Linked DNA regions of Alligator mississippiensis. The protein of the gene in region 3 interacts with the protein of the main gene of each other region in a biochemical or structural test. Links are inferred from orthologs where the notes say so. Each region holds a gene or a part of one and is shown on either strand. Other genes may lie near its edges. The genes, in order: UBE2E1, GABARAPL1, NEDD4 and PMEPA1.

Region 1 (6,876 bases), on a different chromosome or scaffold from region 3:
CCTCACTTCCATATCTACCCCCTCCATACAGCCAGCCTCCCTTCCTTCTCATTTGCCTTTTCTTCCATTTGTCACATGTTATGAGAACCACAGCCTATTTATATTAGGCAATTTACAATCAGCAGGCTTTACAAGAAACTTCGTTGCCACTGGCTAGGTGACTGCTAAGTAAATGTGCTCTGTTGAGTTCTGCCTAACCAACTGCCTAAACACCACAAAAGTCTGGGCTGTGACAGACCGGCATCAGCTGAGAAAGCATAGAAAAATCGACAAAAATCCAGACGCTGTTGACATCTACAGCTGGGAAGTTTTTTGCTGCTGCATGGCAAAGCCATTAACTAGACGGAATATTCTGTTTGTGGAAGAAGTAATGGAAGTTTACTTGGAAACTCCATTCTTCATGCTTTTGGGAGCATGGTGGTGGCAAATTCAGGTAAGATGAGAAGCAGAGCAGAGAGGGTAGCAGTAATGTTGTAGAAGTGAGTTAGCTTTAAGGGTCTGACTACTGGGAAAAAATGACCAGCACAGCAATTCTAGGCTCACTGTTCTAGAATAAATTTAACTATTCTGGTATGACTCCCTTCTGGGAACAATATTCTGGAAAAAATACTATGTTTTGTCTGCAGAATCATGAGTGACTGGTGCCTCCTGAATCAGGGGGGCACCCACAGAAGCCACCAGTGGTGGTGGCCCTGTCAGAGGGGGCACCAGCTCTGCCAACAGCGTTGGTGTCAGACCCCCATGAACCGCCTACCAGTCGCCTATGAGCAGAATAATTATTTCAGACTAAAGTGTTGGCTTAAGTAGTGGAAGAGTTTTTTGGGTCAATTTCCCAACATAGACAAGAACTGAATGCAAGTGACGTGGAGACAGGAAAGTAACGTTTTGATGGGGTGACCTTGTAAGAGCCCTTTCAATAGGAGAGCTCAAAATGCTTTATAAAATCAACCGTCATCCCCATTTTACTGATGGGCAAACTGATGAAGAAGTTAAACAGCCTGCTTAAGGCCACAGAGTTCAAAAAAAACCCCCAAGAATTACACTTGTATGCAATTCTGGCTCTCTATACTTATGATGAAGAAAGGGGATGAGAAGAGGAATAACTATGGAGAAGAAGGATGTTGCTGAGAAGGAATATAGACTGTGGTAATGCTTGGGAGGAGGAGAGGCTAACAGAAGCATTAATAGTGTGTAGGTGCTCTTTGCTCCGTGGAGATAGTGAGGGAGGTTGAAAGTATAATTTCCAGTCATAATGAATAGGAGTGATTAATGCTCAATAGAAGGGAGGCAAAGAGAAGAGTTGGACAAGCAAAGAGACAGCAGTGAAGCGGTGTTTTGTTGCTAACAGTCTCACCTCTTGGCGCTGGTGGAGAGGAGTTTGGAGTTTTTACTCATGCTGACTTTACTTTCCTTCTTCTTAGGCGTGTTTGTCTCTTTCTCTGTCTGTTGGTTGGAGGATGAAGATGAGGAGGAGCTGGTGCTGGCCCTCGAATCGTCATCCGACATAGCGACCCCCCCACCACACACCCCAAACCTGGAGAGGAAACACCATGGGGCGTGGGGAACAGACAATGAACACACACAGAGAAAGGAAACGGACAATCTCACTCTGTGTTTGGGTTGTGCTCTCTTTAAAGGGTCCTCCTCTCTCCCCCTCCCCAGGGGCTCCGCAGACAGGAACCTCACACAGCAGCGGTCTGAGTGCACCAGCAATATACTGGGGGAGGGGATGGACTTTAACGCCTCCTCCCAGTGAGAGGAGAGGGGCTAGGAAAAAGACGACAGCAAAGATTAGGGAAGCTCTCAGTAATTCTTTCTAATCTCCCCCAAACTACACACAGGAGACCAGTCATCACCACCCACTACTGCCCAGCCCTGATGTAAATGGGATGTCTCCAGTCCCCTTTCTGCGCTGAAAGGCACGTGGGGGGAAATGGAAGGAAGCTCAGCAGCAGCAGCAGCTGGCTACAATGGGACTGGGGTGTCACAGGCTTCCAGGGCAAGAGCCCCTGCCTCCAGCACGGGGCCATGAACAGCTTAGCTGTGTGCGTGAGGGGGCGCCCCAGTGGCCCAGAAGGGGAGGGGGGGGGGAAAATCAATGCCAGAAAAAGTGTCTGGGGTGGGGGGGAAAGAGGATTACTATGTGCAGGGGGTGGAGGAGGAGAGTGGGTGCCTGCAAGAGATGGTGAAAGAGGAGTGGTGGGGGGGAAGAGGCAGCCCACTCGGAGCCTGCAAGGGGGGGGGGGGGGGGGGGGGCTGCGTGTGAGGGGGAGCCGGCTCTGGGCCTGCAGGGGGATGCATGCCGGAGCGGGGGGAAGCCGGGGCCTGTAGAAAGCCAGCGGGGTGCTGGGGGCCGGGCGGGGGTCTAGGTTAGCCCCCTCGGATGGGCAGGGGGCCGGGGAGGCATGGGGGGCGCTGGATCGCAGCCACCCCGGCCCCCTGCCCATCCCTCGGCCGGGCCGGGGGGCGCGGGGCGACACCTGACAGCCCCGGGCGCTGCCCCTGCCCCTGCCCGCGGCGCGGAGCCCCCGGCCCGGCCCCTTCCCGCGCGGGGGCCGGGGCGGCGGGCAGCGGGGGGGGCCCGTGCCCCTACCTCTCCCTTTGTGTCTGGCTGCTCCTCCTCGGTGCGGCTGGGCCTGGCCACTCGTGTCTCTCTCGCTGGGAGAGAAGCGGAAGTGCTGCAACAGCAACTATTAAACAGGCAATGGCTTCCCCGCCTGCCCCCCCCGCCCCGCACCGCACCGCACCGCACACCCTCGCGCCGCGCCGCGCCGCGATCCCGGGGGGGCCGGGCCCGGACACGGACACGCGGGGGTCGCCCCCTGTGCACGGCGCGGGCGGGGGGACCCGCAGCCCCCGGGGATGGAGACGGGGGGGCAGGGGGGTGCTGCAAGGCTGATGCCACTCGCTCCCCTCCCCTCACCTGCTTGCAGCAGCAGCAACTTCTCCCCTGTCTCCGCGGGGCGCCGGAGCGCACCTGGCTCCGCGGCAGGTCCCCTCCTCGGACAGCGTCAGCAGCCTCGGGGGGCCCCCACCGCCGCCGCCCGGGCCCCAGGCTCCATTGTCCGCACCTCCGCGCCCGGTGACATCACGAGCGCACAAAAGAAGGGGCCGCGCGTGACGTCATCCGCGCCTGCTGCGACCGCGGGGCTCGTCCGCGGCGGGACACGAGGAAGGGGGCAGCCCCGGGGGGCGCGGGAGAAGATCGGCTGCAACTTGCCTGGTCCTCTGTCGTCTTCTTTTGCACTTCTTTCCCCCGGGGGAAAAAAAAATACCCCCCCCTTTGGCAGCCGCTGTGACTCTGGAGAGAGAGGAAGAACATGACCCGCCAGCCCTCGCACCTGAGAAGAAGGCAGCACAGTCCAGGCAGCTTGCCTTAGTTTTCCAGACCCGCTTCATCCCTCTTGACTTCATTGGGGGGGTGAATTTGGCTCAGTGGCCCTGGTTTCTACAGGAGATCGAGAGCCCCTAGGAAACCATGGGGCATCTCCAGTGGCAAGCAGGGAAAAGCCTGAGTCTTGCCACCACTGCCCATCATCATCATCATTACTGGGATGATTTTGCATTTCTCTGATCTATCTATCTATCTATCTATCTATCTATCTATCTATCTATCTATCCCATACTTTTAGTACTTGGCTGGAATGTGTGGTTGGAGCAATTCCTATCTAGAAAACATCTGTCTATCCATAGATAGATAGATAGATAGATAGATAGATAGATAGATAGGAATTGCTCCAGCCAAATACTGTGAGTATGGCTACTACCACCAACTTAATATATGTTTCATTACCTATCTAAGGCCACACAAGGAATGAGAAGACAATGCTAAAACAAGAGACCAGCTCTCCAATCCCTCAAGGGCTTTCAGGAGTGCAGCTTTTCCTGCCTTTACCTGGAGGCAAGGAGCAATACACTTCTGCAAAACAGGCTCCTAGTCTCACGTTCTAATGGCATGGCTTTGCAGAATAAAGCATGGCTGCACACAAAGGGGAAACAGGTCTTGCTGTTGGTGGGGATTGAGCTCTGGAACGTCCATACCAAAAGCTGAAGACGTATAGGGTGAAGAACTGGAACCAAAGATGTATTTTCTCTGTGCCTAGGTCTATGGTTCATTCCAAAATGGAACTTGAACTTGGATGGAGCTTTGACTTTCCCAGGAAAGTTCAGTCTCAGGTAATGTGCTAGCTCAGTACATGTAGTAATGTCTCCCTTGAGGGGTGGTCCCTTCAATGCCAAAGGACAGGGGTGTTCAGCCTTTCTCCCAAATGCAGCCCATGGAGCCTTCACATCTGGCCCACAGGACTCCCCACAGGTTGGGAACCATGGCAGTGGAGGAGCAGTGGCAATTAATGCTGCTACCCTGCCCCCGCTGCCAGAATCCCAAACCCCATGCTGCTGGATTGAGGCCAGGCCATGCCTCCTTCCCTCCTGATGAGGGCTGGGCCTACTTCCACCCACTCCCCAAATGCTGGATCTCACTACTGCATGACCTAATTTGGCCCCACTGTGTCCCCCTCTACCTTTCCTGTGCTTTGGATTGGGTCCACCAGCCAGATCCAGCACACGAACTGACTAGGCATTGGCCACCCGGTCCATGCAGCAAAAAGTTTGAGCACCACTGCCATAGGGTAATCCAAACGTTCCCATGACTCACAAACTTCAGGCTGGGCACATGAGACAGTTACACCTGTATAATTAGCCGTTACTCTAGTGTATACCACTCTATCCTGGTGTAATTTACTTGAATGTGGGGAGTTAAGTATCTGGTGTTAAGTTCCTTGTCTGGACCTACCCTGGGGTACCCTGTACCACAGGCAGATGGGCCTGCTTCTCCATTCTATTATATGTGCTTCCTCCCCTCAGTTCCCTTTTCTAACTGCTTTATTCACTTAGCCCTGAGTCTAGGACCTATGGTTACTTTTGCAAGAATTCTGCCTCTTTGAGGCTCCCAAATAAAGAAAAGGTGAAACTCCTTTTGCCTTTTTTAAAAGACTTTTTATAGTTATCATGTTATGATTCATGGATCGTTAGGGGCTGGAGTTGACATGGAAACGGTACAGGAGGTAAACTAGCTCCTCATGGGCAGTTCTTTTAATAAGGACTTGCTAGTGACCACAATGGTAAACTGATAAAGGCTGCATCAAGTATGGTAATTCTTTGGCTAATCTTTGCTGGCAGCCTTAAGGACCTTCCTTAGCCAATGAAGGTAAGGCCGGCGTTGATACAGACTTCCCCTTCCATGTGGAATTTGCAACCAATTCATGTTATGTGGCTGGGGCCACATGCAAAAACTGAGCACTACCGATTCAAATGTGCCCCTCCACAGAATGTCACTCATGTCAATCCCAAAGTCACCTGTGTGCTAGACAGGCTTGGAATCTGTTCACTTTTATGGTTGTAAATTTTACATCAGAATTAATGAATTATGAACCCAAGATTACAGAAAGAGTCATTTATACTAAGACAATAAAGCCCATAGCCTTTAATTTCCTGTATTTTTTTTTTGGTGCCCTTCACTTTGAGTCTTTGTCATTTGTTGTGTTCCATATTTTGTCCTTGGTGGATTTGGAGATAAGTCCTTTCTGAGCCACTTTTTAACAGAACAAATACTTCTATTTTTAAAAGAGAATCTTCACTTTCACTGGAAAAAAGTAAGGTTTGAGTCCCTTTCCCTGCTTAATTAGCCTTTAACGACAAGAACCAAAGTGAAATTAAACTAACTGAAAGGGCTCCACTTCTACAGCAGAAGGCTTGGAGATCCTTCCCCCAACACACACACAAACACACACATACACACACACACGTAAAATTGATTAGTTAAGAAGTCAGAGGTGTATTCTGAAGAATCATCTCTATGGAAATTATCACAATGCCAGCCCAGTCCCATTCACAGTAATCATTGAGAAAGCTGGTCACATTTTGGAGGAGGGAAGGTTTTGTTACCCACCCAAAAATGTGTTTTCAGTCCTCTCTGAGTGCACTCAGTGTTGCCATGACTGCAGTAACTACAGCAGTAGGAATTTTCATTTTATCTCACCAATGGTTGCCTCTAGGTGTGAACAGAGGCAGTTCATAGTTCTTACAGTTCTCCACAACCAGGCGTGCCAGATTCTCTAGCAATACACGAGGAAGTGAAACAGGAGAAACAGGGAGAAAAGAAGAAGCAAAGGTGCTGATCCACTGAGTGAAATCCCTGCAGCTCTAGAAGCCTACCTTTTTGTCTGCCTTCGCAGTCCTGGTCTGGAGATCACAGAACTGGTACTGGAAAAATACTTTATCCTTCATCCACCAAACAGGTATGACTGGTTTTTCAGCCAAAATTCCTATGAATAATTTGGGGAACCACTCCAGCAACAGTGACAGTATGATCTCCAGAAATCAGACAGCTCCTCCACTTAAACAGTTATTGCTGTTCCCCCTCTCCTTTTGGTTTCTGTAATACGTTTTGCTCCATTTTGTACTGTTCTCCCTACAATCCTTTTTCTTTTAGTCTCTTTTCCCTTTATTTGCTGTTCTTTCTTCTCCTTTTTTTTTTGATCAGGGCCAAAAAATAATGGAGGAAAGATAGCTCAAATTATTCACTCTCATTTTGCCCCACATTTCTTAGCCACATGGAGTTGTCTAAAGGCAGTAACTGGATAGTAGTAGACATTTTTTCTCTCAGCATCAAGCTTGGAGAAGACTGCAACAATACATTACAATAATCTCATTTCCTTGGGGCCATTGATCTGAATGCACATAGGAATCTGGCCAGTTCAAATTCACGCTAGATCTTCTGCAAAAGGAAGATGATTGGGATTAATCAAAGTCCCTTTGGATCGTGTCACTAGATACTTTCTTAGAATGACTCCCTGCTGCTCAGTTTGGGTGAGT
Region 2 (7,859 bases), on a different chromosome or scaffold from region 3:
TGGAACTGTGCCATCTGGGAGGAAGTGGGAAAGAACATTGGAGTGAATGACTTCTTCCCTAAGATTTTCCAGACTAAAGAAGAGGAGAAACTTGTAAAAACAACAGTGAACTAATGAACTTGACATAGGAGGGTGAATCTAAAGATGACTTTTGGGGAGAGAGGAGTGTAGGCCTCAGGGTAAGTAAGGAATAATATGGGGGTGACCAAGCCCCAGAAAGTGGTGCAATTCAGAGGTTGAGAGATTTCAACTTGCACGGAGGTAAGAAGATGTGGAGATTTGGCTGGCTAGATATCCATTGAAGCCAGTTCTTCTGGATGATATACCACCAGGACCATGTTCAGACAAGCATGGACATTTCATTCCCTGGGCACAGCTATCAGCAGGACACCTTGTGCCACTGCTAGTTGTCCCCAAAGAATGCCTGTGTCATACGCCCTCTGATGTGTGGCAGGTTACCCCAGGTGGGGTAAGGGAGGCTGGGGCCAGCAATTGTAAGGCTTCTGGGGCCAGCACCTGGAGTCCTGGGGGCCAAGGAAATTGCAGCTGTGATGATCCTCCAGTTTGAAGCCTGGCCGGCAGCCGGATCATGGCTCCGGCTGGCCAGGCTCCAGTTTTGGGGAGCACACGCTGTCCCCGTGTGCACTGCTCTGCTTTATTTCTGCACAGGTTTTTTGACCCCTGGATCTTCAGGGTCCAAACCCCCCACCCCCTGCACTGCAAGCCAGCACAAGAGAAAACACCTGAATGCAAGGTGCGTGACATTGCAGATGGGTGGTCTGTACTGCCATATACTGTACGGCCACACTTGTCTGGACATGGCTCAGGTATCCATTCTCAAGACCTACCACCTTCCCCAAATAATCCCACACCATTCACAAACCATTTATGCAACCTTATCTCCTCTCCTTTCACTCTCTGCACTGGTTCTGATCCCAAAGGTTTGAAAACCTGACTGTAGAAACACAGAGACAGACATCTGGACAAAGGGGAGGGGCAGAAATATCAAAGGGTAAATACAGGTCATCTCTGGATCTAGCTACTGCTGGGCGGTATCTGCTGTAATGTGGGACTGTGCCAACAGTCTAATCTCTGCTAAAATGCTGAGATGCACCAGGGCACTGCAGTGTAAGCAGCTGAAGGGACGTCATCACCAGGGATTCAGCTGTCAGGAAGGGTAGACATAGGGATGATGCAGGGAGCCCTGTCTGCCATTTCTGGTTATTTTCTATGACTGTGTCAGTGATTTGCAGGAAGTTATTTCCATCACAGCCAAAGGAACCTTTTCCTGTTACTCCAGACATAGGCCTCCCCACATGGCTTTTCTCCTTCGTCTCAAGCTGTGGCACATGTTGCTATTTTAGACCTGGATCCTCCGCACAACTCTGTTGGTGTCCCTGAGCCTTGACCTCCTTCCTCACCTCTCGCTATTCTGGTCTTTAGTGCTGCACAAGGTGCTCTCAGACACATCCATCATGATCTTCAGCACAGCCTGCTATTCTAGTGCTCACGCTCCTTCACAGCTCCTGACTTAGTGCCCCCTGCAATTTTGGTCCAAAGACATGGAAGCCATCACCTCACTCCTGACTAGCAACAATACTGCACCTGCTGCTCCAGCCTTGTGGCCCGCACACAGCTCTGCCCATGCACCTGTGCTCCTACTTGTGCAAGTGCAACCAGAAGACTTCTCATAAAAGGGTGCTGAAATGCTGCAAATAATGTATGATTCAATGCTCCATCTCCCCCCATTGGATCCATGGGGGAGAGCAGATTGTTTTAGAAAGCTGTACCCTGAATGGTAAATCTAGGACAGAGGCCTCCAGTGGGGATGAAAAGAAAGAACGTTTTGAAAACATCTAATGAAAAGGGCCAAAGATTACTAATGAGTTCTGCTCACCATTTCCATTTCTTAATTATTATTAATAATTAGAATGATAGAAGCTCTCCAAAGGGATGTAAGGATGAGGAAGCGCAGTGTGGTGGGGAGACCATGACCTTGTTTTCTATGCAATGGCTTTTTCCACAAGGAGACTACAGAGGAGGGCAAACAATTGTGGGGTTGCTTCAATTATTTCTCAGAGCCAAGGGCAAGAAGGAAGCAAGACTGAGTTGAAAAGAGGGGCTGGAAGAGAGCACACTATTTAGAAATAAAGGGAAGACACCCAAATGACATTGTGTAGTTTTCTGCGAAGGATTCCCCTTATTCCACTTTCCAATGCTTTCCTCCATTTTTGTAGAGCAAATGGTTGGTTCCTTCCCCACCCCCAACCCCATGCACACAGACTGCCATAAAAAAAGATTAGCAGCATTTACCCTACCACAGTGCTGCGGCTGATGGGGGAGGGGAGGAGGGGCAGCTTCCCCCTATCACCAGTACAAACCCATCAAAGCCTACAAATCTCCATCTGGATATAACCCTATAGACCTGGATCTAGATGTCTAAGTAACATGACTAGGATCCAGGTCTAGAAAAGCGGTTCAGTACACAGAAAGGAAGATTTAAAAACAGATCAACACAAAAATAGCAAGCAGAGCCTGCAGTCCTATCCTTACCCCTTCCCAACACACACACATATATACACACACACACACACACTCTCTCTCTCTCTCAAATCTATAATCCCCTGGGTAAAACAAAGCTCAGCACCCTGCCACAGCACGACCACGGCTGCTGCCATCAGAGACACCGGGCCGTGGGGGCACTTACGGGGACTCGGTCCGGATACTTCTTTCGGATCTTCTCGCCCTCCTTTTTCCTGTACTCGAAAGGATGATCTTCTTTGTACTGGAACTTCATCTCGCTCCTCTGGCTTTGGCTGGACCTGGCTGGGTTCCTTCTTTCTGTGGCTTTTCCTCCCTCCCTTCCTGCCCTTCCCCCAGCTGAACCTGTTTGCTGTGTCACCAAAGCGCCCCCAGATACCCCAGGCCCCGGAGCTCTCGCGCTGGCACAGTAGCCGCAACCACCCCCGCCCCGAACGCCAGCTGATCGCGGGATACACAAACAGCCAGGCCAATGAGCGGGGCATTGTGACGTCACAGGAAGCCACCCCCCCCTCCCTCCGCCGTTCTGGGCACTTCCATTACTGAGGGGGGGGGAGCTATGGGTATGAAGGATGTGGCAGCGCCAGAGGAACGGCGCCGCTGCCTATAGCTATGTATTGGTATGCAAATTTGCATGTAGAAGCCGGGACTGTGCTCCGTCCTTGCAAGCGTGACCCCTTGTCCCGTGCCATAATGCTTTGGGGATGAAGTCGCCCTCCCTCGCTGTGTTGGAATGGATTGGTCCACACTCCACTGCTACAAAGCACTCCTACAGCAAGCTACGCTCTCCTCCTGCGCGGGACGGCGCTGCGCTGCGCTGCGTAGCGTAGCGGCATTGTAGAGCTCGGCTGGTGGCAGAGCTGTTTCCTGCCCTTGTTCAGCAGCCAGATTTCCTGCTGGCCCCGGTCCCTGGGTGCCTCGCAGCTGGGGGGGCAATGCCTCTGCTCTCCCCACCTTCCCTTCCCTTCCTCTCCCGCCTTGTTGTTGCAGCCAGAGGCCCGAGCCCGGCGTGAGTCGGCGGGATCCGCAGGCGGAGCCCGGAGGCGCGTGTCCTTGGGCTTAGCACACTGTAATAGGGTAGCTTTTTCCCCTCCCCATCCCTGCCCCTGCGCTGGCGGGGGCTGTGCCCCCTCCCTCTAAACCTTGTGATCGCAGTGTGAGTCACGCACCTGCAGCCTTTTCCAGCAGCAACTTCCCGGGGAAGAGGAGAGCAAATCACTCCCAGGGGCTTGAGCTGAGCTGCTGGGAAAGAGGGATTTTCCCCTTGCCAGCTGTGCCCCCGCACCCCGTGGTGGATCTCTAGACCAGAAGCCTGGTGCCAGCATGGGAGTTGGCTGTGGCCTCTGCCCGTTAGGGCAGCCGGTTGCATAGCCAGGCAAAAGGAAGCAAGCACTGGGAAATCTTTTCCCAAGCATAATGGCCCTTTATGAGCCCGTGAGTCTTCCTGGGGGCTTTAATGCATCCATAGGTGGATTAATGTACAGGCCAGCTGTGCCCGGACCCAGGGATCCCTGCCTCGGTGCCGATGAAACACTTGTGGCTACTGGGTGCCACTTGCTGGGCACTGCTGCAGTTGGACTGAGCTGCGGTGGTGCAAGGGGCTGCCGCTGGAGCTTGTTTGGTGCTGCACGTGCTCAGCGAGCAGTGGATCCATATACCTCCTGCCAGCACAGACCTGTGGGCAGGGGTGGCTGTGGCTCCTGCTCCAAGCCTGGGGGGCAGCTGTCCTGCTCAGCCCACTGCTCCTGCTGTGAAGGCCAGGGACAGAGCCTGCAGCTGTGGGGCAGAGCACAGATAAGGTGGGACCCTGAGCACAAGCCCTTAATGAATCTTAATCTGCCCCCGAATGCATCTCTGCCTGGATAGGTGCCCCTGTTTCTTCTGGGACTCTGCCAATCAGGAAGGCTTTTTATGCTTTAGGGAGAGCTGTAATTAGTCTGAGAATGAGTGAGGAAAGAGGCATTATTGCTTAGCAGATGAGGTACTGAACTCTAGCTTTGACAGAGGATCTACCATGCTCTACAGGTTGTGGACTGTCTGTTGTTGGAGGTTTTTGGGACCTGGCTACATAAGGCCTTGGCTAGGATGATCTACTGTTTTGAGCAGTGGTTGGACCAGATGACCTCCTGAGGTCCCTTCCAACCCAAATTTTTTACGATTCTATGATCTGTTCCTAGCTGTGTGTGTGACTTGTTTAGGCTGATGACATCACTGCCCTGGCCTCAGCTTCCCTCTCTGTAAACTGGAGATGATGATACTAAATTTTTGGGAAGGTTGGTTGGTTGGTTGGTTTGTTTGTTTTTAAGTACCTTGAGATCTATGGATGAACCTGCTGGCTCAAGTAGGAGGGATTACTAGCCAGTGTTCCTCATTCATTATTTGTTACGGATTATTCCCACGTCAACAATTCAGGTTATCCCATTAGGGCACGGAAGCTACTTCATATTATTGAGGTGACCAATTGCATAAAGGAAATCTTTGAAGTGAGCAGCTTCTGAGCAAGACATGGGCTAGCCATTATTCATCTGAGTCACTCAGTAGGTACAAACAGCAGAGACATTCCAGGAATCTGGGCTGGTTCCTTAGCTGTTCCCCATTGAAAAAGTGAGTGAATGGACTAGCCAGTTCAGATCAGTGACTGTCAGTCTTGCAGCATGTGCACCAGCCTTACTTGTTTGCCTGTTGCTCTGATGATAATGAGAAGTCTAAGGATCTTTCCTATCAAAATGTTATCAACTTGCTCATTACATTTCTTGCCACAGACCAGTGGGTCTCTTTTTCAAGGTTGATTTGCACAGCTTTATTTTTTTTTATGTGTAAGTGAGATCAGTGGTAATATAAATTGCTGGGTGTCGGAGGATGTTGTGGCATCGATGGATGATTGTGCCTTTTCCCCAGCTGAACTCTAACTTCATGGTATAGCCACAAAGAGAACCCAAAGACCCATGCTCATATTTCCCTGTGGCAGGGGGCTTGGTCATAATACTAAAGCAGTGAGCCCTGCCCATTTGTTCCTATCCCATGCATGCCAACTCCAAAAGCAAGGTGGCGAGGATGCCTGGGGCACTGCAGGTACCCCACTCCAGACATGATGTTCCTGTGTGCCCCAGATACAGCACCCACATGGTGTCTTCACTGCCTCATGGATACAGGTAGAGTAAATGGGAGAGATGCTGCTAAACCACAGTTAATTTATCCCTGAGGTTTATTAAAAATGAAGAACACACTGCATATCCTTTGTCATGTCCAGTTTGTACCAAAAGTCAGGCACTTAAAAAACTTCCCCAGTGCAGACTACTGCTAGATCCTTTACATGCTCCCTTTTCCCTTTGAAGTCCATGAGCTGAACTTGGAATATATCTTCAATCACTTAGCAAAGTGCAGTTCAATGTCACCTTGCTAGCTGGTGCTATGTCCCTCCTGCATTATGAAATGCCTAGTTTGTTTATGTGGGAGGATACATGTCTTGATTCACCAGGTCTTTCCTGTTCCTCACTGCAGCACATGTACCCCTGAGGTGAAGCATCTGTCACATGCCAAAGAAGTGACATTTTAATAGGAACCCTTTGTGAATTTATCAGTAACTCATCACCTACCCTGCCTGGTTCGATTTCCTGCCTCCTGTTGTGCCTGGTGATTAAATTACTATTGATACTGTGCTTGCAGAAATGGCTGAGAATTAAGCACCTGAGGGAAAGGAAGCAGGAGATGGGAGGGAGGAATGAGCCACTGGGAATATTAGCTGCCTCTCTAAGCTATGCTTCCACTGCAAAGTTAATCCTAATCATTTTCTGAGCACCCTGCTTGAAGCCTTGCTTTGGAGTGAGCAGCCATATGGCAAAGCTCCACCAAGTTACTGTAATGCTCCTTGTGTGGATTACTAGGACCTCTGGAGGTATGTCATCTATATGTTGGTGTTGTGATAACCTGGCCCCCTCTCTGACTCTTTGCCAGGGAATTTTGTCTTTCTGAGTGCATGGGGGAAATTGTGAGAAGGCACTGAAAGATTATCAGCACTCAGGTGGCTTCACCTGCATCCTCATGGGTAGCAGGCTGGCTATCGGTGTGAGTGAAAGACCACCCAGGCGCTGACCCACATCTCCACTGGGCCAGACAGCCTGGCTTGAGAGCACCATCAGACACCAGCAGGGAGGGAGTGTGTGTGTGTGTGTGTGTGTGTGTGTGTGTGTGTACAAGAGGTGTGTTAGGGACAGCAGCTGAATAAGGGCTCAAGTTAGCTCTGCAGTGAAGGCAAAGCCATATGGCCAATCAGTTTGTCTCCCTTCTAGCTAAAATTACACAGGATGTTTAAACAGATTTTTTTGTTAGTACCATGTGCATCCCCCATTGCTGCACCTAGCAAACCGCACTCACAACTGGCAATAAAGATGGAATCCTCAGCAGGTTTCAGGCCCACCAGGCACCTTCCACCCACGACCACCTGGTTTCTGGATGAAGACAGTTTCCATTCCCCAAGACTTCGCAAACTGACAGAGCTGTCATATTTTATGTACCTCCTCGACTGATTCTTTACATGTTTGTGAGGGAGGGAAGTGTGACATTTCTTCCTGATGCAAACTTTCACTCCATTTCTGTTCTAACTGATGGATATTAGTTATGCAACTGCTAAGCCATGTGGTTTTGTTTTCATTAGTCTGGTTTCCCTCCTCCAGCTCTCCTTTTCTTTGTCACAGTCAGTTTCTGTGTCTGCTCAAATCAGACTGTAAAGACTTTGAGGCAGAGGCAGGCTCCTTGTTGTTTTTTGCATAGTGCATAGCACAATGAACCTTAGTGTACTGTTTGTACCTCTCTACCAGTAGCATAACAAGGTGCGAGTAGGCAGGGCTCCAGCCCCAGGCACTGACTCTGAGGGGACACCAGAATGGTAGACTCCCTGTGGAGTCCCTGCTGTGGTGACAGCAGTAGCTCCCTGGCACTGTTTTAGCAGCAGGGTGCAAGGACACAGTGCTGCTGGTATAGCAGCAGTAGCAGCCACTAGGGACTTTGAGTCCCTGGGACAGGTAAGACTCCCCACCTCTCCCTGCACTTGATACCTCTTTCCCCTCCCAAACCCTCCCCCTCACTCTGGCAGGGTTGTGCCAAGCATGCAAACCTTGCTAGTTCTCTGTAACTAAACAACAATAAGAATTGTTCAACAACACAATAAAATAATTGTTGTTGAAAAGTTAGGGATTTTTCTCCCCAAACCAAGCTCCCAGTGGGATTCTCCCTTTCTTCCTGCAACAATACAAAGCAAGGTTGTTTTTCATGTAACAGGAAAAAAACACTACAAGGTTGAAGAAGTTTCTTTTGCTTGG
Region 3 (7,928 bases):
AAATATGGTCAAACTACAAAAGAGTAGGTACATTAAGGAATATTTGAAAACAAAATATTTAAAATAGCAGTGCTGGCATGAACATTCCCTGTCTCCCCAAAGATATTCCAAAACAATACACACACAGATTCTGTTCCATTGTATTTTGATGATGCAATTTAAACAAATATCTATATATCTATATAAAAAGTGTACACTTAATGTAAACGTAAAGTGAACACACATATGTATACATATACATAAAGTGTTCACTTTACGCTTACTAACTTTAATAAGAAGTACAAAAAGGACTCTTGATATTGGCACTAACTAAGCAATAATTTCCTTGAAAACAGTGAAATAAACAAGGTCCACAAGACTGTATTGCCTGGAAATTCTATTTTGACTCTCCAGATTAGCACTATTGGTAAATCACTGGCAGCTCCCTTCACTTACATCAACAAGGTAGCAAAAATAATTAAAACTAGCGTTTATTTATAACTTCAGGTCATGCGTTTTTGCAAGAGGTGTCAAATTATTGCATTTTTTTGCCAGCATAGGCTTACAACTAAGCACACTGTACAGTTTGAAGATTTGTAAGATGAGTGACGTAAAAGAGCAGATGATACTCTCTCCACCCACCTCTGGATTTCTTGTGGCGTAACCTGCCTGTGTGTGAAAGCTACATCATGAATTAATTAAAATGAACAAATTTCTGAAGTTTAAACACATTTTATTACCAAATAATATTTTTAAATATAAAGACTACCAAAGCCAAGTACCATAATGTGGACAGCAATGTTGTTGGAAAAGATATTAAGTTAAAGTGCACAGCTAAAGCTGAACTAGTGGTTGGAGAAAAAAAGGGGAGGAAACTCTTAAAATTCCTGTGGTTCAGGGTGTAACAGAAACAAATGGTATTTACAGTTCCTCTGTTCAAATATTACTTATCTTTAATTCTACAGACAGCAAGCTGTTTCTGCAAAATAAAGTTTATATGAAACAAATTTGAAGGACTCCACAGTACTCTAGTTAATTCTTAACCATTTTAGGTCCAGATATTTCAGTAAAATTATTTCTATATATTAAACATATACATTTAAAGCTTAAAATAAGATCTGAGCTAACCCTAGGAGAACTTTAAGACCTAATTACCAGATGGAAAGAAAAACCAAGTAAATAGGAAATGAGTTAGGATTTAAAAGTTGAAGCATGTCACCATAAGAATTTTCACCAAAAGTGCCAGACACTAGGAAAGATCAACTGAAAGTTAGGTTAAAAATACACTATTGCAAACTGTTTCAAGAATATAAACATTCATAAAAGGCTTGTGTTCATGCTGTGAGGGAAAAAGAAAGCTTAACAATTTACTAATTACAATTCCCCTGGAAAAGATTCCTGTCAGTTTTTCATTAATCTAAAACTACTCACCTTGAGGGGCTTCCACAAAGTCCTGTTACACATTTCCCTTTTGGAAATTCCATTTCTTTTTTTAAAGCCATTAGTTTTTCCTTCATTCCCAGGTCGAAACTGTATGTGCAAGTGAGATGCCCCTGCCTTAGGACACTTGTATTTAAGGCTAGATAAATAGCAAGAAACTTTCTGGCAAGAACCTTCTAAGGACATGCTTCTTTGCAGAAAATGGTGGGTTTTGTTCATTTGAATATTAGGTCTTTTTAGTTCGTTTTCATTAATCCGATATTCTGAATGGCTTTTTGAGGGTAAACACGCAGATGTGCTATGTGTCAGTTTTAAATGAGGGCACTCTGCACTAGAGTTCAGATTTGATTCTGGACTGCCACAACTATTAACCATTTCATCCCTTGATGTAGATACTTTTTGAGTAAGGTGAACTGAAATACAAGAGAAGCCATCAGATGTTTCTTCACAAGTTGCCTGCTCAGAACTATCTGTGGCTTGACTTTTGGCCTGTAATGAAGTATTCAAGTAAAGTGGTCTAATCTCTCTAACCTCACCAGGAGAAAAAGCAGATTTAGAGAGTCGAAGTCCATTGACTGCTGTTGAAAGAAACTCCTTATTACCAGTTTGATTTTCATGTTGTGCTAGGTCACTTGGAGAAATAACTAGTTTATGTGAGGTCTGATATGCCACACTCTGTGGTGGAGGACCTGAGCTTGTTGGAGACATTGGTGGAGTACTGGAAGGGCTTCGAGGGAAAATTACCAATGATGAACAACGTCTTAGTGGAACTTTAGTTTTCCTCCTTGCTGACAATTTCATTTGCTCCAAACCATCTTGGTCAAAAATAGTATTACTTCGACACAAACATTCCTGAGATGCATCTTTCCTATAGGAATTATATTTGTTTGTAGTTCTTCTATACGAAGAGTTATCATACACAATGCTATTATAAAAAATACCATCACCTGTGGAAAGAGCGCAACTACTATTGTCACTAAGGACACTGTTGCAGTGTGAACCTCCATCACTTGTGGTACTTGTGCATGATCCATAGTCACTGCCAGCACTACTGAAGGATCCATTGTCACTGGCTGCAATACTGCCAAGACTGCCATTCAACATGGTAGTGCTGCTCAAGTGGCTGGTAGTATTTATCATGTTAGATGGATAATCAGCAATATTTCTCCCAGAACAGTTTCCTTCATTGCCGACACCAGTGAATGATGAATCCTCATTAGTAGCCACTGTATCACCAGACTGAAGACATCCACTGTACTTTCTAGACTGCAGGGAAATCTGAAGTGAAGTGCTCTTTTTGTTGTTTTTTTGCAGCGAAGAACCACTTGCGCTTTGCTGTTGATTAATTATTTCTTGCATTACAGGTGGAAAGACTGCTTGCCTGGGAGTCAGTTTCATTTCTATGACATTAGATGCAGAATTCTGTGAAGATCTTTTGAAATGCATATAAATATTATTATCCAAGTCATCTTCAGAGGTTTCTGACAGTGGATCGGTGTTGCTTCTTCGGGCTGCAAAATGCAATCTTAACCTTCGTGCCATCTGTACTCATTTCTACACATGTTAGCAAATGAAAACCATAAAGCTCCTTCTGCAGAATAACTTAAGGCAACTTCATAGAATCTAGATCCAGTTCAAGTACATCACAAAAGTAAAAGCCCATTAAGGTTGCAGACTTCGTACGAAATTCTACAAGATACTAACTATTATACAAAAATTACCTCCTGGAATAAATCATCCATTCCCTGAAATGCAGTTTCTGGACTGTCTGATTGCTTGTAGTCAGAGAGCATACACACAAAGCACTTGAGTTCCAACGACCTTTAAACTGAACTCAGCTGCCGCATTCTGACAAATACTGCCAAGCGTATTGCAATTATACCTTCTGTAAGTTGCATAAATGAATACAACTCAAGAATAATCTCCTAATGCTTCAAGTTTAAAACAGCAACTCCTGCTGCAGCTACACTAGCTGAGTCAATTTGTCCGTACTTTCCCTCAGCAGCGTATGACTACTAATATTTTTACCCAGAGGTTTAGAATTACAGGAAGTTGGTAGGAATGAAGTCCCATATAACAGAGTACCAAATCTAGCATTGAATTTCCAAATAGTAGCCATGCTAAAAAACTTGTGAAAGTTTGAATATTGGCATATGCCGATAAAACTAACCAATTTTGTATTAATAAAAGGTTAAAAAAACAGAAGTTATTTCAGGAATCTTAAAGTTACTCAGTAATCATACATAACATTGATTGTCAATTAGGTGAGCCCTCTACCGTTTTAGTTAGCTTTTTGTTTTAAGCAAGATGCAGAAGAGTTAAAATTAAGTATAAAACTGTCCACTTTATAATTTACCATTCAAGGTTCCAAATGTTTTTCTGAAATGTGTACATCCAACCCCTTTCCAAGTCAAAGCTGTGCTTTGTTAGCATTATCATCCACTTTTCCTAATCCATACATTTCAAACTGAAATATCCGGTTTGTTGGCCAGCAATTCCTGATCGGCACTAGCTTCTTTGGATATTTAAAAAAGGTTAGATAGCCAGGTTATTTAGTGGCATGTCGACTCCTGAAGTTTGTTTGTAGCTATTCATCCAGAAGCAGACATAAATCTGAATTTCACAATGTATTTTTTCCCTCCCAATTGCAGTACAAGTGTGCAATCCAATAGGTACAACCGACAGGAAAGAGATGGCTTCCAAGCTACACTATAACAATTATTGTATGCAGACTTTTAAGTTATATTCACAGTTAGCTCATGTAAAAGTGATTGTTTTATATAACAATTCATCTGTAACCAAGCAAAAACATATTGGCAGTATTTTCCAAAAATGTAAAACTGAACTAACTTGGACAATTTCTGAGTGTTTCAGTTTATCATGTAGACCAAAAAGGCCCTTTGCTGGCACCTGGTGGAGGTTTTTAAAATTGACACTCTTACTGTTACTACGAGCGTCTGAGGTAAACGTCCGTTCATGAAAGTACTTCTGAATACAGAAGCCATGCATCATGCAGTGCTAAACCCTACCATGCTAACATGGGATTATTTACTGCTGTTGATAAAGTCCAAACAGTAGAGAACACTAGACCATTTATATATATATTTTAATAGGTCATACTGATGGCTTTTTTTCTTACTCAATATTTACTTAACCATTACAGTATTTTCAGTCTGCATGCAATAAAATTAAATTTTACCTTCTCCCAACACAAGAAACCAGTAATTAAGTGTCTGTAGTACATTATTCAAATGAAACAAGTTTATCTTTTAATAATACTCCTGGGCTCATTTAACCCTTTCATTATCCAAAGTTGACAGATGCAACAATACATACATGCTAGCTAATTCATAAAAAAGGCAACAAAATACAATAGTTCAGCTATTTTTCAGGTATCACTAACCAGAATTCTTCAAACTGAACATTAAGAGGAGGAAAAGAGGTCAAAGACCCCCAAAAGCTTTTTTTTGTTCACAGCTTTAGAAAGCTATGTTTAGTTTTCAAGCAATTTATTTTCCTCAAGTCTCAAGATTTGAAGGAAAGCAGGAAGATTTCATTTTTTACAGAAGCAAAAGTGGTTCTATAAGCACCTTAACGTTTATTAATTTTAATTCAAAGAAAAACAGCATTTTAAATACCTACCAGAGCGCAACCGTTTTCGAAACAAGATCTGAGGGATGGTACTAGGCTCAACATTTCCCCCTCCCCTTCTCCATGCCTATACAATTTTAAATATTTTTTCCCCTATACTTATGGTAAAATGGGAGAAGAAGTAAGCTGACAGTAGTTTCACCAACTAGGGTGTCAAATTTAAGCCAAATGTCATGACGTCCTTTAGTCAACTTAGCTATTTAAAAAAGGACCTCCATTATGGCCTAGTTGACCAAAATTATATGGCTCTTGATGCAGAATTCTGGCCTGCTGAAGTCAATAGGAAATGCTAAAGATCAGTCTTTCAAATATCATATTCAGGAATGTTTGCAACACTTATAATACTGGTCAGTGCTACTTTATTTGTCATGATGGGAACAGCTATGGGCACCAAAATGGCCCCACAGTATGCCAACCTTTTTATGAGCCACCTAGAAGAAGACTTGCTCAAGAACTGCACCATCAAACCCTTGCCATACTTAAGATATAATCGATGACATCTTCATCATGTGGACTGAAAACTTATGATCTCTGAGTTCCATCAGAAATTCAACAATCACCATCCCTCCATCCAACTTTCTCTAGAATGCTCCAGCACCAACGTCTCCTTTTTAGACACGATGATCAGTATCCAGAATGATAAAATACAGACCACGTTATACAAGAAACCCACAGACCAACGTACATATCTGAACAGAACCAGCAATCACCCTAAACACACCAAAAAAGCTGTGATATACAGCCAAGCCCTCAGATACCACCAAATTTGCACTGAAGAGAACACCCGGGATTTCCACCTCACCAATCTTAAAAAGGCTTTCACCCAACAAGGACACTCCTCCAGAGAGAGAGATCGCACGTTTGAAAGAGCCACCCAGATACCACGTAAAGAACTGCTGCAGTACAAAAGAAAAACCCCCACAAATCGCACACCGCTGGTTATGACATATCACCCCTCCCTTGAACCTGTACGGAAAATCCTCAAACAATTGCAACCCATACTAGAAAGAGACCCTATTCTTAAAAAGATCTTCCCAGAGCCACCCATCCTAGCCTTCAAACAAGCACCGAACCTCGCTAACCTCATCACCGGAAGCAAACTTCCTCAAGCCCAGAACACACCAAAAGGATCCAAACCGTGCCATGACAAGAAATGCAAAACCTGCCAACACATCTCTACCACCCCCACAATTACTACACCCCACAACAGAGCCATCACCATTCCTGCATCTTACAGCTGCACCTCCAGAAATGGAATATACCTCATCCAATGCACCAAATGCCATGATGGAAAATACGTAGGAGAGACCAAACAATAACTGCGCACCAGAATGAACGCACGCTGGAAATCTACCAAAGACAGAAATACCTAATTACCTGTGGGGGCACATTTCTCACAAGAAAACCACTCTCTCCCCAATCTCTCAGTCCTGATCCTCAAAGGAAACTTACACAACACTTCCCAGAGATGAGCCTATGAACTCAACTTCATCAACCTCCTGGATACTAAAAATCATGGACTAAATATAGACATTGGATTTATGACACATTATCATCTGCCTGACATCTGACTTCCCAGGTATCTCTCCACTTTTATCCCCCTTCTCTCTCTTCCCCTGCCCCTCCCCAGCCCATCTCTCACCAATTGACTCCTCAATCTACATTTTCACTGACTACCTGTCTTGCATGCATACCAGCCCAGCTGCTGGCTTCTTTACTTTTCATTCCATCCAGGAAGAACACACACCAACTGCTGAAACTTCCTTAGCCTGACAAAGGGTTTTTGAACCTGAAAGCCTGCCTAATAATTGTTTTCCAACTATTTAAGTTGGTCTAATAAAAGATATCAGATTCACCCAAAGAACCTTGTCTGACTTTATTTGTCATATAGTTGTGTATACCATGTCTCCAACACTAAACTGCTCTATAAGTAAGTAGTAGTCATTTATACCAACCAGTATTCAGATTAAGGAGAGTTGCTTTAATAAACTTTCATTTTCTCACATGCCTGGTTTAGAGCTCATCTACCATATTTATTCAAATCCAAGATAAGGTTATTTTCCCCATTAAACAGAGAAAAGAGCCCCAAGCCTTTGATTTGGGTGCAAGTGTTGGGGAGGGAAGGGGCAAGATAATTAGCTACCCAGATCTTCCCACCATCAAATGACACAACCACGGCTGGGAAGGGTTGTAGGTACACATGTAAAGATGGTGCATTTGATGCTGAATTGTTTGCTGAATTTGCTGTAATCAGATGAAATAGTCAGGACTTCATCAAACATTACTGTGAGGAAAATTTAAAAAACCCTGCTTGACTTGGCAGCAGCAGGGAACTCACTGGAGATGGACAGAAAAGCCATGAGGGATCCGGGGAAGACGATAGGGGAGATGTGATTTTCCAGCAGCTGCTCAGTCCCGATTGGAACATGCCACAGCTGCTCGGAGCTTCTGACCATGCTCCCGAGCCGGAGCCAGAACCCGCACTGGGGCACGACCTAGAGGCCAGGGGAGAGAGATGAAGGCACATCGGAAATGGGCATGAAGAGGAGTGAGCAGGAAGCTTCGGAAAACACAGCCCCAGGAAAGACATAGCTGGAGAGACAAGGGCCACTCTGGAGAAAGAGGAGCCAGCTGCTGGCCGGCAGTCAGGCTCTGAACCGTAACAGTAACCCAGGGACACTGGCTGCCGACCCGCAGCAAAAAGGAGCAGTGGAAGTCAGCCAAAAAAGGAACTTCACCGCAAAGGAGACGGTCACAGGGTGAAAAAGGCTCTGTAAGGTCCTGTGGTTTTTTTCCTTTGTATGGATGGGAGGAGGGAGAGCCTGGTAAACTGCTGGAGAGACAGACCCCACTCCTGA
Region 4 (6,960 bases), on a different chromosome or scaffold from region 3:
TGCTTCATTTGTTTAAATACTCGTTTGTCACCTGAAATAAGAAATGCACAGAAATATTTTAGATGAACTTCACAGTTAACCCAATTAGAGGGTTAAATTAAAAGAAAGCAGTTTGCACCTATGCTACTATCTTGCATCAGTCCTGTGCTAGATTCATACCTGCAAAATTAAACGGAATCTCGTTTTACCTGTTCTCAGACCCCATCCAAATAATTTTTCAAAACTGAGTCATGCTGCCCCCCGCCATCTACTTTAAACTAATGAATCTAATGGACTCTCAACTCTGTCCTTTCTGTTAAATCAAAGTAAAAAGAAGCATTTGTGTAGCCAGCCCCACTGCAATATAACCACTCTTGCTTCGTAGGAAATAACAACTAATTTCAGCAAAGGAAGCTACTGCCAAATACACTGACGTAAGATAGTGGTAAAAGTTTTGAAGGCCTACTCCAAAGCCTAAGCCAAAAGAAAACTTACCCACTTTGGGTCAGGACCATGATGTTAACTAGCTGATTGTGTGGTGCAGAGATTTGATAGAGCAGACTAAAGAGAATAGGGTCTCGTGGAGTAGGTTCTAGCTTTTTTAAAGGAAGAGATCCTCCAATAGGTAAGTTTTTTCTTGGTTACACATACGCACACCCCAAAATCAGCACCTATTACTAAGCCTTTCAGACACTGCAGGAAATCTAGAAATGGATAGTATTTCTAAGAAGTCAAGCAATTAAATTAAAAGATCAGACTGTTCCAATAAGAAACCTGTGCCAAGGATCAGATTGGAAGAAGAAAGACTGTTTCTTCAAAAGACAGAGTGGATGCTAATTCTTCAAAAATATTCCACTTTGATATTATCACAGTTCTGATCAGACCTAAACTAAAAAAAAAGTTTCTCAGGTTTATGTCATGGGATAACAGACTCGTTTACATTCACTCCCTGACTGGCATAAAAAAAAAGAAATCTGTATCTTTTAATTTGTAGAGCTCTATTGGTATTCCTATCTAGCATGGCCTGTTAAAGTCAAGAAAGAATAATGGTCTATTCAGTACTGGTAGTGTTAATAAAATCAGGCAAATCCAGCTTAGCTTTGTCTGAACACGAATGAGATTAAATCAGGATTAAAAGTGCATACAGTACAAAGGCTATGGTTTATTTTACAATTCAGGTTGAACACGTTTTAGTACCCATTCTATGAATGCCTATAGATTTTTTCCAAAATCCATATATAACCAAATCAACCCAAAATATGGCTGGCATAGTTGATGGCACAGGATTCAAGGCTTTGACTATCCGAAATGCTAAAGACCAGAGTTGCCCTAAAACACAGCTCTGCAGCCTCAAACAACAGACCCAATCCTAAGGTGTCAATGGGAATCGGTGGCATTAAATAGGGTTCAACTGACTTTCACATGCTTACATCAGGAATGAATTTGCCCTATTGGGGTGTTAACAACAGCAGGATTATGCCCAAGTCTCCACTTTGCGCCAAACGCACTAGCACACAGAGGTTACGACTGCGCTGCGTGGTACTGGATGTCGACCCAAGTAGAAATGAGCCCTCTGGCTGCAGAAAAGCCACACAGGCTGAGACGCTTTGAAAATAATCAGGCCCAGGCAATGCATTTTTAAAAATAGCCGGGGAAGCCAAATGACTTCCCTTAAAAAGAAAACTCCGTTTCCATTTCTAGGTAGTTTGTTAGGGTGATCCAACACAGAAGTACAGGCTATTTGGGTCAGACAATGCTCTCACTGATTTTCCACGTTTGCAGTTTAAAATATCATTTTTAAAAAAATGTAACGAGTTTTCAAAATATTTGCTCCACTTTTGCCTCCAGCCCTCCAATAATTGAAGGCGTATCATTGAAATGGAGCGGTTAATTAAGATACCTAAAAGCAAGGCTCAAAGTGTTAACAGCGCTAACCTTATGGGTCAAAATCTCCTGAGCATCACTTCAGCCGAAGTGAGAAACGTAGTCTATTTGGAAGAGCAGACAGTTAGAGCAGACAACTAAATTAACAAGACTGCCTCGGTGTCAGCCAAAACATCATTACGGCTGATTAGCTGAGGGGAAGGGACGATATAAAAAAAAAAGATGAATTGGAAAAGGAAATTTTACATATGCTGAAAAGGAAACGTTACATACACTGAAGGGAACAAGAGGGGCGAGGATAACCCTCGTGATATAAACCCCTCACAACTCTGCACGGGGTCGGGCAAAAGCGATTTCTGAGCCCGGCGGGTCCCTCGCCCGCGGACGCAGCGCGGTCGTCCCTGCTCATGCCAGGATGCTCCGGCACAAAGATGCTGAATCCCAAGCAGCAACAGATTAAAGATCAGGATGTGCACAGACCGGACAAGCCGCTTAACAGCGACGGCTTTCTTCGCCCCTCGCGGCAGTCTGGCAGGCGGGGAGCGACCGGCTACAACTTTACTGCGATGTGGGGCGCACGGAGAGCCCCACTCGCCTGCTCGCCGGCCACGCGTGACTTTTGGATCTCGCACAAAACTTTCCTCCAAAAGACACCCGCGGCCGCCGGCGACTCCGGCTGCGAACCGGTGCCTCCAGGTGCGGGTTAGGGAGGAGGAGGAAGGGGGGTGTCTAGTGCCCCAAATCTCCTTGCTCCGGCCCTTGAGGAGAGGCTGTGGCAGGGCCCCTGCCACTAGCTGAGCCCCCCGTGCTCGGCCAGGGCTATTTATAGCCGCCCCCCTCACACTCACACTTACACACGCACTCGCACCCCCGGCCCCACTCACTGATCTCCATGCTCTGGAACAAAGAGCGCTTGCAGTTGCACGTGCAGGACACATTGGGCTGCAGGGCGATGCCGGCGGTGCCGTTCAGCCCCATGAAGTTATACATGGGCGAGGAGGCGGCGGCGAGGCGAGGCGGCGGGGCCCGGGCCGCCCCGCATGCAGGCAGCACGGGCCGGGCGGCAGGAGCCGAGCGGGCCAGGAGCGGGCAGGCAGCCCCCTGCGCCCGCGTGCAGCGCGCTGGAGCCGCCGCCGCCGCCAGCCCGGGCACTGCCCGCTGCCTCCGCGCCCGCCTCCGCCGCCGCCGCCACCGCTCTGCGCGTCTCGCGCGGCCCCAGCAAGATCCCGGCCCCGCCCCTCCCCTCCCGCCCGCCGGGGGGAGTCGGTGTCGCTGGGGGGAGCAGACAGACGCGCTGACGTCAGCGCTAGACTGGGACTGCCCTCGCCACAGCCCCGCCGGGCGGGGGGTAGGGGTGAGTGACAGCTGCACGGGCCAATCACAGCGCGCTCTGCCCTCGCCCGCCCCGGGGGGACGCGTTGTCTCTTAAAGGCGCCGCGCACCTGGGAGGGGTGGGGGGAGGAATGGGTTGCGCGCCCCCTCCTCCGGGAAGCACGGGCCTCGGGAGTGAGTGCGTCTCAGCGGTTCACAATCTCCCTTAGGCGTGCCCCCCCCAGCAACACACACATACACACACACACTCTCTACCAGGAGCATGCAGACACCCCCAGCAACCCTCCTCCTTTACACTCACACACATGCACACTCTCAGGAGCACACCCCCCCAGTAACGCTCCTTCTTTACACACACGCACACTCTCGGGAGCACACACCCCAGCAATCCCCCTCCTTCACACACACACACACACACACACACACACACACACACACACACACACTCCCCTCCAGGAGCATGCACACCCCCCCCAGCAACCCTCCTCCTTTATATACACACACACACATGCACCCCCCCCCAGCAACCCCCCCTACTTCAAGCATGCACACACACACACACACACACACCACCCAGGAGCATGCAAACCCCCCTCAGCAGCCCCCCCACCCCCACTGGAGCACACCCCCCTCCTTCAGGCAGGCAGGCATGTGACCACACTCCCCCCCCATGCATGCAAGCCCCCCCAGCAGCAGCCCCCCTCCTTCAGGCATGTGTGTGCGCACACACACACACACACACACCTCTCCCTGCATAGGGGGAGATGAGAGGGGCTCTGTGGGGGGGCGGGTACGATTAGGGCCGGTGCTCAAGGGCAGGGGACCAGGAGCTGGTTGGGAACCAGCAGCAGCTCATCCGGTGGGAAGGTGTGGCAGGACTTGCCCCCGGAGAGCCCTTCCCAGGCTCTGCGCTGTGCTCCCGCCCCAGCCACCTGTGCAGACCCCCCTCACCCCAACCCCAGTGAGGCCCTTCCACAGCCAGGGGATCGCAGTCATGTCCCCGTCCTTGTGGCTTCTCCTGGGGGCAGGGGTCTCCCTGCACGTTGCCCCCAATAATCCACCCCCTTCAGAAAGCCAAACTCCCTCTACTGCCCAAGCCGAGGGGCTCAGACAAGCCACCGTCTGCTCTAGGACAGTTTTCTTTGCAAGGATCTGCTGACCCCGTAGCCTGGCTGCATAACAGCATGGCTTGCTTTTCCCCACTGCCACGGCTCCTCTCCACTGCAGCACAACTCAGGCCTCTCGGCGCCTGCACAACCGGGCCATAAACAGCCTGGCGTTCGCTGTGAAGGCTGCGTGGTGCCAGAGGACCCTGCTCCGGTTCCTTTCCTAATGTGTAAATGCACCTTGTAGTGCATCCAACCTCCCTCTTTAGTGCTGGGAATGAAATACCTTTCCCCATGAGGACCTCTCCCCACGCTGCACGCAGCAGGCTGATGGCTTTGTTCGAGTGTCATTGCCCAAACTCTCCTTTCTTGGTTCTTGGTTAATATCACCAAACTCTGTCTTGTGAAGAGAAAATCGTTTCAGACTTCAAACCTGTAAAAAAAATAATAATTTTTTTTCTTTTTTTTAAGGCCCCACTGCATACCAATCTCCCACTTGAGAGATGCCTTGAGAAAAAATGCAGCCACAGCTTAATTTGTTGTTTAATTAGCCCCATGTACAGAAGCAAGTCTGGCACGTCAGAGAAGTTGTGTTAGAACCTTGCAATGTGCCAAACTACGTTATGATATGGCTGGGTCTTGCATGCTCATGCAAGATTAAAACATCTTTGACTAGATTGTGCAAAGCCACGCTGCCAGCCAGCAACCACCAATTTGGAAGCCCTTCGAATTTGGGATGCCCAGCCCGTGCACGTCAAGGAGTTCATTGCGGGCTCAGCGCCTTTGAAAATCGGACCAAAAACGGGTCTGTTCAGACACTTCAAAACTGATGCATGCCAGATCAGTGGCCGTGTTTAAACCTGTTGTCCTTAACTCATTCAGGGTTTTAACACAGTGCTATAACATGGTTTGGTCCCTTCTTCAGAGAAAAACTCACTGGTTGATAGCATGGTTAGGACACTACAGTATAATGAGCTCCTTCTGGCTTTGTAGATTTACTCCTATGGACAGTTGTACACGAGGGGCTGGAACGCAGAGGTGTGGAAAATAAAAGCTTCCTTGAAGTCAGTGGGGGCTTTGCTGTTACCCCCGCAGAAGGATCAGGCTCTGAATGAATTACAAATCTCAATCTTGCCCACGGTCTGCAGTGCAAGCCATGACTCTGTAACACTTACAAGGTTGACAGAAATGGCGAGCAGTGTTGAGTCTGTCAAGCATTATGGTGCCTTTCCCAATCCTTCTGAATGGGAGCTGCTGCGACATCAGAAATTCTGTTTCTCTCTCCAAATGCACCAGAAAAACCTTTTAGGGCTTGATTGCCCTGATTGCTAAGCAGATTTTGCTTTTTCAGCTGAACTAGCATTTGTTTTGCGTGCACAAAATTCAAAAAATATTCCAGAAAGATAAACTTCTATTTTTATTTAATTTGAAGATGACCAATCCCATTTCCTTTTTAGGCAGCTATAAAGGAAAAAAAATCTTCACTCCCTCACTGAGTGCTTATGTGCCAGGTTTTATTCAGGAGTGATTTTTTTTTTTCTGCTGAGAAATAAACCTGTGAAAATAGGGGTTTATAATGAAAATGCTGAAACAAGCTTAACTATAGTGGTGCGAAGAAGCTGCTATAATACTTGGTGAATCCTGTTACTGGGAGATAAAGACAGCTTCAGTTATCTTCTAAGAAAGCATATTTTCCCATAATTCTTGATAGCTATGATTTAGTATTTGGAAGTCGTTAAAGGGTCTTCAGTTGGGCCAACACTCCCTAGAGATGCTACCATGAATATAGTGCTAAATAAGGATAAAAGCTATGAACAGCATATGTAAAACCAAAATCTCCTGCAAAGTCATAGAAATCATGGAGGGTGGAGAGTGTCTCCAAGTCAAGCCTAGTATTATTTATTGGAAAGTCTGAAATTTTATTTCCTCCCACAGAAAATGGGATTTTTAAAAACTTGATTATTTATAAAAATGATTTTAAATGAGTCTGCATACTTCTCAGAGGCTGCTTTAGCACCATCAACCCCTAAGGAAAATGCCTAGCGAAAAGGATCATGTTATCAAAAGGTTAGTTAATCTTTATACTGTGTCATCCACTAAAAGTTACCTCCAACAATTACTAATTCAGTGTGAAGAGCGGGGGATATACTGCATCTTGTAGAGCAAAGCAGCTTTAAGAGGTTACATTGTGGTTTCTAACAAGTGTGGGTCTAAATGGATATGAATTATTATAGAACCAGAGATGGCCAAGGAAAGTTATCTGCCAGCTGACTTGACCTTCCCTTCCATAGTGAAAGACGTATTTGAATTCATGGAAAATAATATTGAACACAAAACTGTAAGGAGATAGCGCCTGCAGTTAATATCTATTGCTGGGAGTCTGTAAGGCAGAGGTGTTTTATTTCTCGTTTTAATGCAGATTTCCTGTATGACTTCACAAATCAGGGAGCCCAAATTTTTCACACTTTGGTGGTGACCTAAATTAGGCACCTGAGTGTGCTAGTAAGTCTCAAAATTAGAGGTACTGAGCACCCACAACTGCGGCTGAAGTCAGCGGAAGCTGATGAAGATAAGCATCGCTGAAAATCACACTGTTTTAGGTGTCTAAATATGGTTGCAAGTGCTTGAATTGAAACAGCCTACCTGGAAATAAAACACT

The links.
Region 1: the proteins of NEDD4 (region 3) and UBE2E1 form a complex in vitro, tested with the Homo sapiens proteins (7 studies listed by BioGRID, with this or other methods). The link is inferred for Alligator mississippiensis from reciprocal best matches to the Homo sapiens genes NEDD4 and UBE2E1.
Region 2: the proteins of NEDD4 (region 3) and GABARAPL1 form a complex in vitro, tested with the Homo sapiens proteins (2 studies listed by BioGRID and IntAct). The link is inferred for Alligator mississippiensis from reciprocal best matches to the Homo sapiens genes NEDD4 and GABARAPL1.
Region 4: the proteins of NEDD4 (region 3) and PMEPA1 form a complex in vitro, tested with the Homo sapiens proteins (2 studies listed by BioGRID, with this or other methods). The link is inferred for Alligator mississippiensis from reciprocal best matches to the Homo sapiens genes NEDD4 and PMEPA1.

The regions. Positions count from the first base shown.
Region 1 is NC_081828.1:148,073,149-148,080,024, forward strand, and holds the start of UBE2E1 (ubiquitin-conjugating enzyme E2 E1), read right to left. Parts: upstream 3,009-6,876; 5' UTR 2,924-3,008; intron 2,659-2,923; 5' UTR 2,594-2,658; intron 1,768-2,593; exon of another isoform or gene 1,609-1,767; intron 1,535-1,608; 5' UTR 1,507-1,534; coding exon 1,355-1,506; intron 1-1,354. UniProt on the Homo sapiens protein: Accepts ubiquitin from the E1 complex and catalyzes its covalent attachment to other proteins. Catalyzes the covalent attachment of ISG15 to other proteins. Mediates the selective degradation of short-lived and abnormal proteins.
Region 2 is NC_081827.1:146,477,977-146,485,835, forward strand, and holds the start of GABARAPL1 (gamma-aminobutyric acid receptor-associated protein-like 1), read right to left. Parts: upstream 3,002-7,859; 5' UTR 2,798-3,001; coding exon 2,708-2,797; intron 1-2,707. UniProt on the Homo sapiens protein: Ubiquitin-like modifier that increases cell-surface expression of kappa-type opioid receptor through facilitating anterograde intracellular trafficking of the receptor. Involved in formation of autophagosomal vacuoles.
Region 3 is NC_081834.1:25,833,948-25,841,875, forward strand, and holds the start of NEDD4 (E3 ubiquitin-protein ligase NEDD4), read right to left. Parts: upstream 3,019-7,928; 5' UTR 2,962-3,018; coding exon 1,411-2,961; intron 1-1,410. UniProt on the Homo sapiens protein: E3 ubiquitin-protein ligase which accepts ubiquitin from an E2 ubiquitin-conjugating enzyme in the form of a thioester and then directly transfers the ubiquitin to targeted substrates. Specifically ubiquitinates 'Lys-63' in target proteins.
Region 4 is NC_081832.1:9,061,415-9,068,374, reverse strand, and holds the start of PMEPA1 (protein TMEPAI), read right to left. Parts: upstream 3,018-6,960; 5' UTR 2,854-3,017; coding exon 2,748-2,853; intron 1-2,747. UniProt on the Homo sapiens protein: Functions as a negative regulator of TGF-beta signaling and thereby probably plays a role in cell proliferation, differentiation, apoptosis, motility, extracellular matrix production and immunosuppression.